Linked DNA regions of Tribolium castaneum. The protein of the gene in region 1 interacts with the protein of each later gene in a pairwise test. Links are inferred from orthologs where the notes say so. Each region holds a gene or a part of one and is shown in the gene's direction. Other genes may lie near its edges.

What was found.
Region 2: the proteins of Rala (region 1) and Sec5 interact in a two-hybrid assay, tested with the Drosophila melanogaster proteins (2 studies listed by BioGRID). The link is inferred for Tribolium castaneum from reciprocal best matches to the Drosophila melanogaster genes Rala and Sec5.
Region 3: the proteins of Rala (region 1) and Rlip interact in a two-hybrid assay, tested with the Drosophila melanogaster proteins (6 studies listed by BioGRID). The link is inferred for Tribolium castaneum from reciprocal best matches to the Drosophila melanogaster genes Rala and Rlip.

Annotation. Positions count from the first base shown.
Region 1 is NC_087395.1:14,770,626-14,774,856, forward strand, and holds Rala (ras-related protein Ral-a), read left to right. Parts: upstream 1-1,409; 5' UTR 1,410-1,884; intron 1,885-1,965; 5' UTR 1,966-1,971; coding exon 1,972-2,460; intron 2,461-3,096; coding exon 3,097-3,213; 3' UTR 3,214-3,757; downstream 3,758-4,231. Other genes in the region: bic (transcription factor BTF3 homolog 4), read left to right, coding at 1-82.
Region 2 is NC_087403.1:223,816-226,134, reverse strand, and holds the end of Sec5 (exocyst complex component 2), read left to right. Parts: intron 1-386; coding exon 387-1,231; intron 1,232-1,408; coding exon 1,409-1,511; 3' UTR 1,512-1,714; downstream 1,715-2,319. UniProt on the Drosophila melanogaster protein: Component of the exocyst complex involved in the docking of exocytic vesicles with fusion sites on the plasma membrane.
Region 3 is NC_087403.1:3,536,232-3,540,259, reverse strand, and holds Rlip (ralA-binding protein 1), read left to right. Parts: upstream 1-1,460; 5' UTR 1,461-1,602; coding exon 1,603-1,690; intron 1,691-1,741; coding exon 1,742-1,871; intron 1,872-1,916; coding exon 1,917-2,125; intron 2,126-2,177; coding exon 2,178-2,439; intron 2,440-2,485; coding exon 2,486-2,663; intron 2,664-2,710; coding exon 2,711-3,424; 3' UTR 3,425-3,470; downstream 3,471-4,028. UniProt on the Drosophila melanogaster protein: Participates in receptor endocytosis during interphase, is also involved in mitotic processes when endocytosis is switched off.

The DNA of each region.
Region 1 (4,231 bases):
GGATCTGGTGGGCAACTTCGACGAGGCGTCGAAGGCGGAGGTGGCCAAGAAGGAGGGGGAGGACAAGCCAAAAGAAAATTAATCCTGTTTATGCTTAGTGGGCTCGAATCTATTGCTCCTATTTTTATGGTTTTGAGGACACATTTCGTGGTATTTGGTGGAGATGTGTCTGCTAATCTTGTACCAAATCCTTTTTTGTTAAACATTAGACACGCAACTTGTATAGAATATTTCATAGGAAATACAAAATATTCTAATACAGATTTGTTATTTCTTGATGAATCTCTGTCCAGTGTAATTAACAAGAAATGCTTACCACCGTAAGCCACACAATAAAAACCCAAAAGACATCTGAAGGAGTTTATTTTTAGAAAAGCCGTTTACTGCGTTGTTAGCTAAATACAGGCTAACCGCTCATGTGGAGTTGATTAAAAATAAGTACAATGGTGATAAAGATAGGCAAAAATTTTAAAGAGCAAAGTTTTAAGGATTACGTCAATGTTAATAAGTACATTTGGGTTAAAAGTGCTATAAAAATTAACTGTTTTTATAATCATTTGGCATCACAAAAATTGCTCTCTTTTTATTAAAAACTGCCTGATTTATTTTAGAAATCTTTTTTTTTAATTTTTGTACTCATGAAAGCCTGGGCGTAAGGGGCATAAAATAAATTGTTTAGTGAATAAACAAAATGTGAATAAATGTGCTGAAAGAGAAATAAAAGTGATAATCATCTAGGCCATAAATAACAAAACCACTAAAATTATTAGCCTGCATTTGAAAAAAAAACGCAATTCAAACCAATGTATCTTTGTGGAGGAACCACGAATCTTTATTTTTTTAATAAATATTTTTTCTTTTTTATTAAACCTTTTTTAAACTCTAGTGTGAATTTATTATGAAAGGCCGACCTATATTCTTCTATTTCAATTTGTTTTTGTTATTAAATTTTACGGAAAAAAATTTTTTTTTTGCCAGGACCGGGATTCGAACCTGCCACACAAATGAACAAGTTAGCCACAATTTTGAATATTGCTAAGCCATTCCCTAAAACTCTGTAAATTGTGTTATAATCATGACCATTTTGGGTTGTATTTTATTTTAATAAGGCTTAAATCTTAAATTGGGTGAATTGCTGTATGTGTATAAGGACGATGAATTGATAAGCTGTTTTATCTATGGCTTACGTAAATCGTGAGTAAAAGAGTAAAATACCTACTTTAAATAATTCAACTGCAAAGTTTTACTTTATTCGCTAAGTTGAGTAATCTTTAATACCAACTTCAGTTTAAAAATGGATAAAGTTGGTAATTAATAAGCAAAAAATTCAACAAAATAGGACTCGTTCTTTCGGTGTGAACGCACCTTTAGTACCAATTTAAAAAAACGATAATATTGATAAAATTAAGGTTGTTCTTAATGATTGCGGTCTGAATTTATATTTTTTACTACCGGCTTATCACATTAATGTTATCACGACTGATCACGAGCGTCCAGTTCCGTTATTTTTCCATTAAATTACGAAAATCGCTGTGGCTGCGCCCACCTACCGCCATTGTTGATTCCATATTTAAAAAGTGACAATTCCATGTTTGACACGTATCTTTAAAATCCTCTTCAAAATAACACTCATTCCTCAGTAAATCGTCCTGAGATAATAAGTGAAAATAAATATCAAAGAATTCGCGTGACAAAATACCAGGAAAAAGATGACTAATGGAAGGATGACGTGAAGTAGGTTACAAGTAGCAGCGGTGAGGTTGTGTTGGTGTTGCTTGTTGCTGTTCAGTTAGTTAGGACAGAAAAGCACAAGTGATTATTCTTTACAATTGGTCTGGAATAGGACCGTCACTACCCGTTCACAGTTTGCTTTTGTGACCACCGGTAAGTCAAAATCTTTGAATACACCCCGGTGGGGTCAATGACTGGTAATGCAATATACGCCGGCATTTCCCCGCTTTCCAGCCGAAAATGTCGAAAAAACCGACCACTCAGCCAGCCCTGCACAAGGTCATCATGGTGGGCAGCGGAGGCGTCGGCAAGTCGGCCCTAACCCTCCAGTTCATGTACGACGAGTTCGTCGAGGACTACGAGCCCACCAAGGCGGACTCCTACCGGAAGAAGATCCTCCTGGACGGCGAAGACGTCCAGATCGACATCCTGGACACTGCGGGTCAGGAGGACTACGCCGCGATCAGAGACAACTACTTCCGCAGCGGCGAAGGCTTCCTGTGCATCTTCTCCATCACGGAGGACGAGAGCTTTCAAGCCACGCAAGAGTTCAGGGAGCAAATCCTGCGGGTGAAAAACGACGAAAACATTCCCTTTTTGCTAGTCGGGAACAAAAGTGACCTTGAGGACCGGCGAAAAGTCTCGTTTCAAGAGGCCAGCGACAGGGCCAAGCAGTGGGGGGTGCCCTACGTGGAGACTTCGGCCAAGACGCGGGAGCACGTCGACAAGGTGGGTCACGCTAGCGGTTCAAGTAATTAGAGGCTTCAGCGAGACAGAAAATAAAATAGGACTGTTTTTATGACCGATAGTAATCTAATTTTGTGGGAATATTAGTCATGCTGTAAAACAATAGGTCAAAGAGCAGATGTTTTCGTACGGTTAATTGAAACAGTTGGGTCCAAAAGCAAAGGTGTTTTTGGATTTGCTGCAAAAAAACAGTACGGCATAGTCAAAATGAGGGCGTTTTGAGCGTTATACCGTCTCGACGCCAAATTAATTTAAATCCAACCAATTTACTAATTACATGTAAAGAAATAAAGAAATGTTGAACTTTGTACTTTTAACAGACTGAAAATAATTTTTTTATAAGAACATGAGAAACAAAATGATTATTATTAAAATGTCTTACTATTGAGATTGTAATGCTCTACCTGCCTGTATTTTTTTGTTTGCTATGAGTTAACCCTTATCGCAATAATTTTTTTTTTAATTTCATTCAATAATGAAATCGTGGACGTGCACGTTTTATTTGTACGTTGTCACATCCTAGCTTTTAGATATCCGTATACTTTTTTAATGCCCCGAGATTTCTGTTTTCACGTATTATCTATGTGGACTATTTGATAAATGCTATTGACCTTTTAGGTTTTCTACGACCTGATGAGGGAAATCCGCGCCCGCAAAATGGAAGAGAACAAGACAAACAATGGCCGAGGCAAAGACAAAAGTAAAAAGAAGAAATTAAAATGCACCATACTTTAGAGAATGGCAGAACGTTATGCTTAAGAAATAGTCATAAATCGTTTTATATGACATGAAAACTTTGTATGTAATATATGTATTTGTATGTTTGTATTTCATATCGAATTTTAGTTACATTTCATAGGGTTATGGCACTTGTTTAGCCACCATTGTACCCTCACTTATATTTTTTAATCTACTTTTGTTATGATAGTTGTTAAGAGTGTACATGTTCGTAGTTTTAAGAAATAATTTATTTTCGAACTGTTTATTATTGTGTGAAACAACCTAGATTTTATTACACATCATTTACATCACCAGTATTTCTATGTTTATTTTTCAGAAGGGTTTTGCACGATAATTTCAGTTCTGTTTTGCTTTTAATCTAAGTTATCGTAAGAGAAATACCATTATTTAGCAATATGTTATTGGAATATTTTCGCTACAAAATAATCAGATCTGTAAATCTACGAGGGAAGTATATTTTCATACTTTTCACTAAGAAGATTTCTGTAAAGTGTACTGCCATCGCAATATGTTATAATAAAATTTTACTCACATTGGACATTTTTTTCAAATTTTTCAATTTTCAAATAACTCAACTACGATGTATTAGCTGTTTCAACATCGCATTTTCTCTCAAAAATAGCTGTTATAAATTTTTCAGGCACTTCAAGGAAATAATAACCGATGTAATTTATAGTTTCAATGAAAGATCTATAACTATTTTACAATCATATCAATATTATTGAAGAAAATGATTTGGTAAATAGCGACTTTGGCGTTTTTATAGTTTTGAAACAGCTACTAATTTTTAGCCACCCATCTGTCAATAGTGTCAATTACCTAACCTAATTTCATACTTTAAAAAAACCCGCATTGTGGTCGGCTTGTTAAGTTTTGTTGTACATATTTTTTATATTTATTTATTTATGACATACGAGGTCGTATTAAGAAGTTTTAATTTGTAAAAAATAAACATGAAGATAATGGGAGCATTTTATTTGTGAAACTAGAACTGAAGATTTTTTTATGTGAG
Region 2 (2,319 bases), on another chromosome or scaffold:
AAACGACTAGTGTTTTACAAAAATCAAGAAATGTTCTTGTTCTTGTTTTGGTATTGTAAGTTAATAATTATGAAACAAAGTTATGATACAAAAAACTCATTGACTAATTGTTTTTAAATGCTTCACTGTAACTTATCATAATACAATGTGTTCAAAAATGGTTGTTCATCAGATCATTTTTGCCTTTTTCGGCAAAATTGTTCTAACTGTAGATTTTGTCTTGATTTGTGTTTTGTATTTCCGTGATTTTTGTTGTGTTAAGCGGCACATTACGCTTAAATTTCATAGGTGACTTGACTTGAACAACCATTTCGGAACAGTGTGTAAAAGTATGATCTCAATATTTTGATTTGATTGGCGAGTTTCGCGTCATGTGCCTCTTCCAGCCAATCAAATTCGAGCGCATCATCCAAGACGTGATCCAAATCGTTAAGGAATCGGTTTTATCGACGGAGCAGCGCGAAACACCTCTCTTGGAAAATCCGACTGCGCATAAAGAGTTGGATAAACAGATCGAAGCAGTTTTAGTGTCGTTTCACAACGTTTTGAACAATTTATCGTCGGATGAGAGTTGTGATGACGATGAGGATACGTCACCTGTCGTCTCGCAACTAATCGGAACTCCGATCAATGGCTATAGAACGAATTATACCAATAATAATATGCCGATTTGGGAGCACCGTCTTTTAATAACACTCTCGAATTGCCTCTATGCCAAAAACGTGGTCTTTGACACCATTTTACGGAAGTTCAAGGAGAGTGGTTTCCCGGCACCGGAAACGCCAGTCAAAAACGCCAAAGATAAGTTGGATGTGCTCGAAAAAACGATCCTTGAGAAGTATTTGGAACAGAAAAGTGATCCTTTAGTTGGCACAATCGAACCCTCAATGTATTTAGGCCGATTTGATTGGGACATTGAAATAACCCCCAATAATATAAGGCCCTATGCAAAGGAGTGCATCAATAACGTGATCCATGTCCACTCTGAAGTTAACAGTATTTCGTCTTCTCTACTAGAAAGCGTACTTCCTCAAGTAGTCCTAACGATAGCCGAAGAGTTATACCGACTGATGTCCTGTGTTCAGAAGTTTAGCAAAGGCGGGGCACAACAAGCCAGAGCCGACATAAGCGCACTGCAAATTTTTTTCGACCATTACTCGACACCTAAAGCTCGGAGCTACTTTCAGGAAGCTTTAGATATTATTCCTCCGCTTGAAAACTCCGAAGCCACGTAAGTTTTTCTCTGCTTGTTTAGGGTTAACAACAGTTATTAGCTTATTTATTAATTATTATCTTTTTTCCTTGTGCGTTTTTTTCTTTGTGTGCTTTCTTCCTTGTACACGTTATTTCTTTTATATTTTAAGCAAAAAATTAAATATTTTGTGTGTAGCTTATCCTTTTTTTCCAGTGTGGTGCAGGATATTTTGAGACAGTGCAGGGCCCGCATGAGGATACAACTCCTGTGTCTAACGTCACACGCAAACGGGCCAGTCAAGAAAAGATCTCATTAACTCGACAAGCTTAGTAACTGTGATTCTATTGCTCATTATTTTTCCAATAACTATTTGTACATAAAGTAAGATGCCTTGAAGACGAAGTAATAATAGGGTGTATTTCGTGTACAGTTTCAGTTGTAATTTATCGTGGTTAACTTTTGTTCTAGGGTGTACAATAATTTTGTGTAAAATGTAATAAAAGATTAACTTATTTAAAATGTTTTTTTTGTCTTCCCTCACTTCTCGGGTGGTGTATTCTTGGTTGCATATGCCAGGGTGTATTCATTAAACAATCATTATTATGAGTATTATTAAAAATAATTGTTTATGTCGTGTTTTCGGCGGTTGACAATTGGGAAAAATCGCTTCTGCGTTACATAACAACAATTTGGCTATTCGACATAAATTAAGACAAGGCGCCAAGGCGTGGAACAGGTTTATAATTTTACGAGTTTGTGAAAAAAGGCTGCGATGTGCGCCTTTGACGTAAAATAAAATTTAATTAAAAGTGGGATATTTGCGCGAAGTGGCAGCCTACATGAGATTGTGAAAGTTTTAATGACATTACTATTTATTATTATTGAGTAATTCAGCTGAAAAAACGCTAGTTCATGTTCTAAATCTCAGTCATTCATACATATAAATTAGCAATTATACCCATAAGTATCTTTATTATGGTCGGATATAACTCAGGGCAATTTATTAATTTACCCTAATTTTTTTCTTTGTCAGAAATAGGTCAAAAAGTGAAAGTCGCGATTTTAAATGCTAATTAACAACACAACAAATCTTGAATTGTCGCGAGTTTAGCGACGAACTAGTT
Region 3 (4,028 bases), on another chromosome or scaffold:
GTGTAAGTAGATTTGCGCAAGTGCCATTGCCTTAAAATAACTGACAGTTTCATATTTTTCTAGTAATTACAAGATGAAGCTATGCAACGCAATATTTTTTAAATGTCAGTGGAGACCGTATCGGTTCTATTATTATATAACGTGAATGATTTAGTCATAAAGTTTTGTGTGAGTTTGATGGTTACATTAATCAGTTGTATTGTAATGACTGCGCTATACTTTGTACATACATATGGGCTCACTCCACAATACTTTCATATATAAAATCTAAAAAATAGGCTGTTTCGTTTTCGCTTTAGTGTGTACCAATATATTAAGCATTATGTAGCTGGGCTACACGTATAACTGCTTAGCTGAGATTTCTTAAGGTTGGTTCATTAGAAAACAATACAATCAATGTACGTTTAGTTGAGCTAAGAATGTTTGCACTTTTCATTGAAAATGGCAATCATACGATGGTAAATTTTACTTATTTACTTAAGGTATGCATTTCCCCAAAAAAATTTAGTTGTAATGTTGTTTCAAGACTATAGATAAACGCCACTCGCCAACTCGTTGTTCTAATACCATTTAATGACACAACCACCGTTTCTTTTGTTATTATATTATTGTTTTTTTTTTGCGCGTAGCCTCGATCTAAAGTAGGGACTACTCTTTACGTTGTTACATTGCCGGATTTTCTTTCACTCCTCCCGTAGTAGGGACTACTTTTTACTTTGTTACGTTGCCGGATTTTCTTTCACTCCGCCCGTAGTAGGGACTACTTTTTACTTTGTTACGTTGCCGGATTTTCATTCACTTCTCCCGTAGTAGGGACTACTTTTTACTTTGTTACGTTGCCGGATTTTCTTTCACTCCTCTCGTTTGATCTAGCTTGAGGATATTTATAAGTTGTGTTAGGACCCCTTGACAACTGGTTTAGGGGCAAGACTAGACAAAGGTGTTGTTACTTGAAACTCTGTTTTTATTAATACGACTAAATCCCATTTGTTTTATATTGTTAACAGTTTTAGGTGTCAACTACTCTTGATATATTTTTATAATGACCTTCCCTTTGGTATGTTTATGAAAATGTAAATCATAGGACAGGCAAGGAGTTCTTTTGTATGTGTTTTCGTAATATTGTATTTAGAGTACTAATTCATCATTTTAAGATAGTTGAAAATCTGCTTTTCCGTCTCGCCTGCAACCAACCACGTGCAATCGACAATTGATTGCAGGCGAGACGAAAAAACACATAAATCTTGTGATAATTAAACGTTTTTTTTGCTCAACTCCTTGCAATTTATTACATAGTTAAGTTAGTTTGTAAAGTGTGTTGTGGAAGTGTGGTCAAAGATTTGTCTTCCTGTAACACGTAAAAAAAATTAAAAAAAATTACAAAACTAGCTCGTCTTTTATTTCGAATCTCCCGGTTAAGGCGGCCCTCAACACCAGTTCCTTCAAGAGATGGCAGGGCAAGCACCTGTCATATTACACCACTCAGATGACTTGATTTGTGTTGTTTCTGTTTTATCCCAGCTTAACATGCTTAGCAACAAATTCCCTTGGGAAAATAGTGTCATAATTATTTATTAAAAGTTCAAACCCAACCGTGTCAATATGGATTTTGATAGCCCCGACGTAATGAAGGATTTCCCAGGCTTGTACGCATCCGAATTAAATAAGCAGTGCAATAACGACAGCGACTGTAATAATAAATTAAGTGAACCACTAATTCCCGATTAAAACTCGTTTCTAGATAGTGACGAAAATGAGAAAGTCTTGAAAAAGGACATTCTCATCGGAAAACGCAAAGAGAAGAAGGATAAAGACAAAGGTTATGCCGCTTTAGAAGGCGAAAGTTCAGCTGATGAAAATTTCAAGTCGAGGTAATCACACCTGCAATCACTCAAACCCTCACTGGGATGTTTCAGAAGCCCGTCGAAAACAAAAAAAGCCAAACCGTTCAAATTCTCCACCAAAGCCAAAGAAAAACGGGACAAATCCCGCGAAAAAGAGAAAGATCTCGACAAGAAGAAAGACCGGGATAAGAAGAATGACAAGAAGCAGGACAAGGAGAAAGTCAAGAGTGAGAAAACGAAGAAACTCAAACAGTCAATTGACGAGACCGCTGACATCGGCGGTGAGAACTCTTACATAATGACAATAAAATTGGAATGAATTGTTCGTTCCAGATATTTTACCGATTTTCGGGGCTAGTTTAGACGTGGCTGTTGAGAGGAGCCGGTGCCATGACGGTGTAGACATTCCTTTACCCATTCGGGAATGTATAGACTATGTAGAAACCGTAGGTATGTCGTTCGAAGGCATATACAAAATCAGCGGAACAAAATCAAAAGTTCTCCAAATACGTAAAATGTACAATCAGAGGGGCAATATCAATTTAAATGACTACGACCCTCCAACCGTCACAAGTTTAGTAAAAACCTATTTAAGGTAACCTTTTCTTAGGTGTAACATGATGGGCAAAAACTCTTTGCAGAGATTTACCAGAACCACTTTTTACAAACGACCTTTTAATACGTTTCGAGGAAGCCGGAGCCATCCTTAATCTCAACACTCGCGAAAAACACTTAAAAATTTTAGTGGACCTTTTACCTCCCCACAACAAAACGCTCCTCGGCTGGCTCATCACCCATTTACACAACGTTTCTCTGAATGTGAGTGCCTTAACACCCCAGCCCCCATAGTATAGCGCGTTTCGCAGGAAAAATGCAACAAAATGAACAAACAAGCCATTTCCACAGCCCTCAACCACACCTTCCACTGCTCCTCGCGCCTCCTCCACGCCCTGCTCCACCACTGCCTCGCGCTCTTCCCCACAATCACAATCGCGCGCTACGTGCCCCCTCTCGAGTCCGGGGCCAAGCTCCCCGAGGAGCCCCCCGAGATCGAGACGGAGCTCAAGAAGCAGGAGTCGCTCCTCACCCAGATCCACAAGGAGATGAACGTCTGCTGCATCTCGAAGCAGCGCGAGGAGCTCCTCTGGGAGGTGCAGAGGATCATCACGCAGCTGAAGCGCAAGCTGAAAACGGCGAACCGCGACAAGGAAGCGGTCGAGAAGGTGGAAGCCCCCGAGCCCGAGGCGCAGCCCGAGGAGGCGGCCAGCGAGGAGGAGTCGGAGCTGGACGGCAGCGTCGCGCTGCTGAAGTTCAAGAACGAGGGGCTGCTGCTGCTCAGAGACTCGCTCCTGAAGGACATCCAGGCGGAGCGCGGCCAGATCGCCGTGCTGCGCTCGCAGATCACGGGGGAGGTGCCGCCCGTGGCGATGGTGCCCAACGAGGACCTGGACGAAGTCATGGACCTGTTCCTCAAGGAGAACCAAATTTTGCAAATCAAGAAGATCAACTTGGTCCGCCAGATCATCGAGGAGCAGGAGATGTGCATCGAGCTGAGAGCGCAGATTTTAGCCAAGTCGTAATGTGTCCAGTATTATTGTAACTGTATATAATAAATGTTCAAATTGACGCTGGGTTTAAATTTAGGTAGACTTGACATTGGAGTGGGCCTAAGGTTACGGTATGCAACTAGCAATGCGCCTGAACTAAGCCAACAGGCGGCGCTAGCACTACTTAAGTCGAGTATTTTTACATGTTTTTGTGCGTGTTGTTTTTATTTTTAGTGGGGAGTGAGTTCGTACTGTTTCATGTCCGATATTATTTTAGAATAGGAAGTGGTTGAAGGTGTTTAATTTTTTAATTGTTATTTGTTGGATTTTTACGACCGTCCCTTGTGATGTTTGCTGGCGTTTGGCAAAGTCAATAAATAAGATAAGGAGTTTCGTTAGTGTTTAGTGTGTATACATTGCTCATTTTATTATATTGTTATAAGTCACATTTTGAATCGAAGCCTCAAGGGACCATCTCGTGGTAAGTCTTCTGTGACCCAAAACCCCATTTATGACTCCCACGTCAATAACAATCATAATCAAGTTTGCTCAACTTTTGATTAAATTGTCGACTTTGTTTACACAGATGATTCCGTTTAACCCAGAAACTTCACCAACCCGGAATTTTAGCCCATTC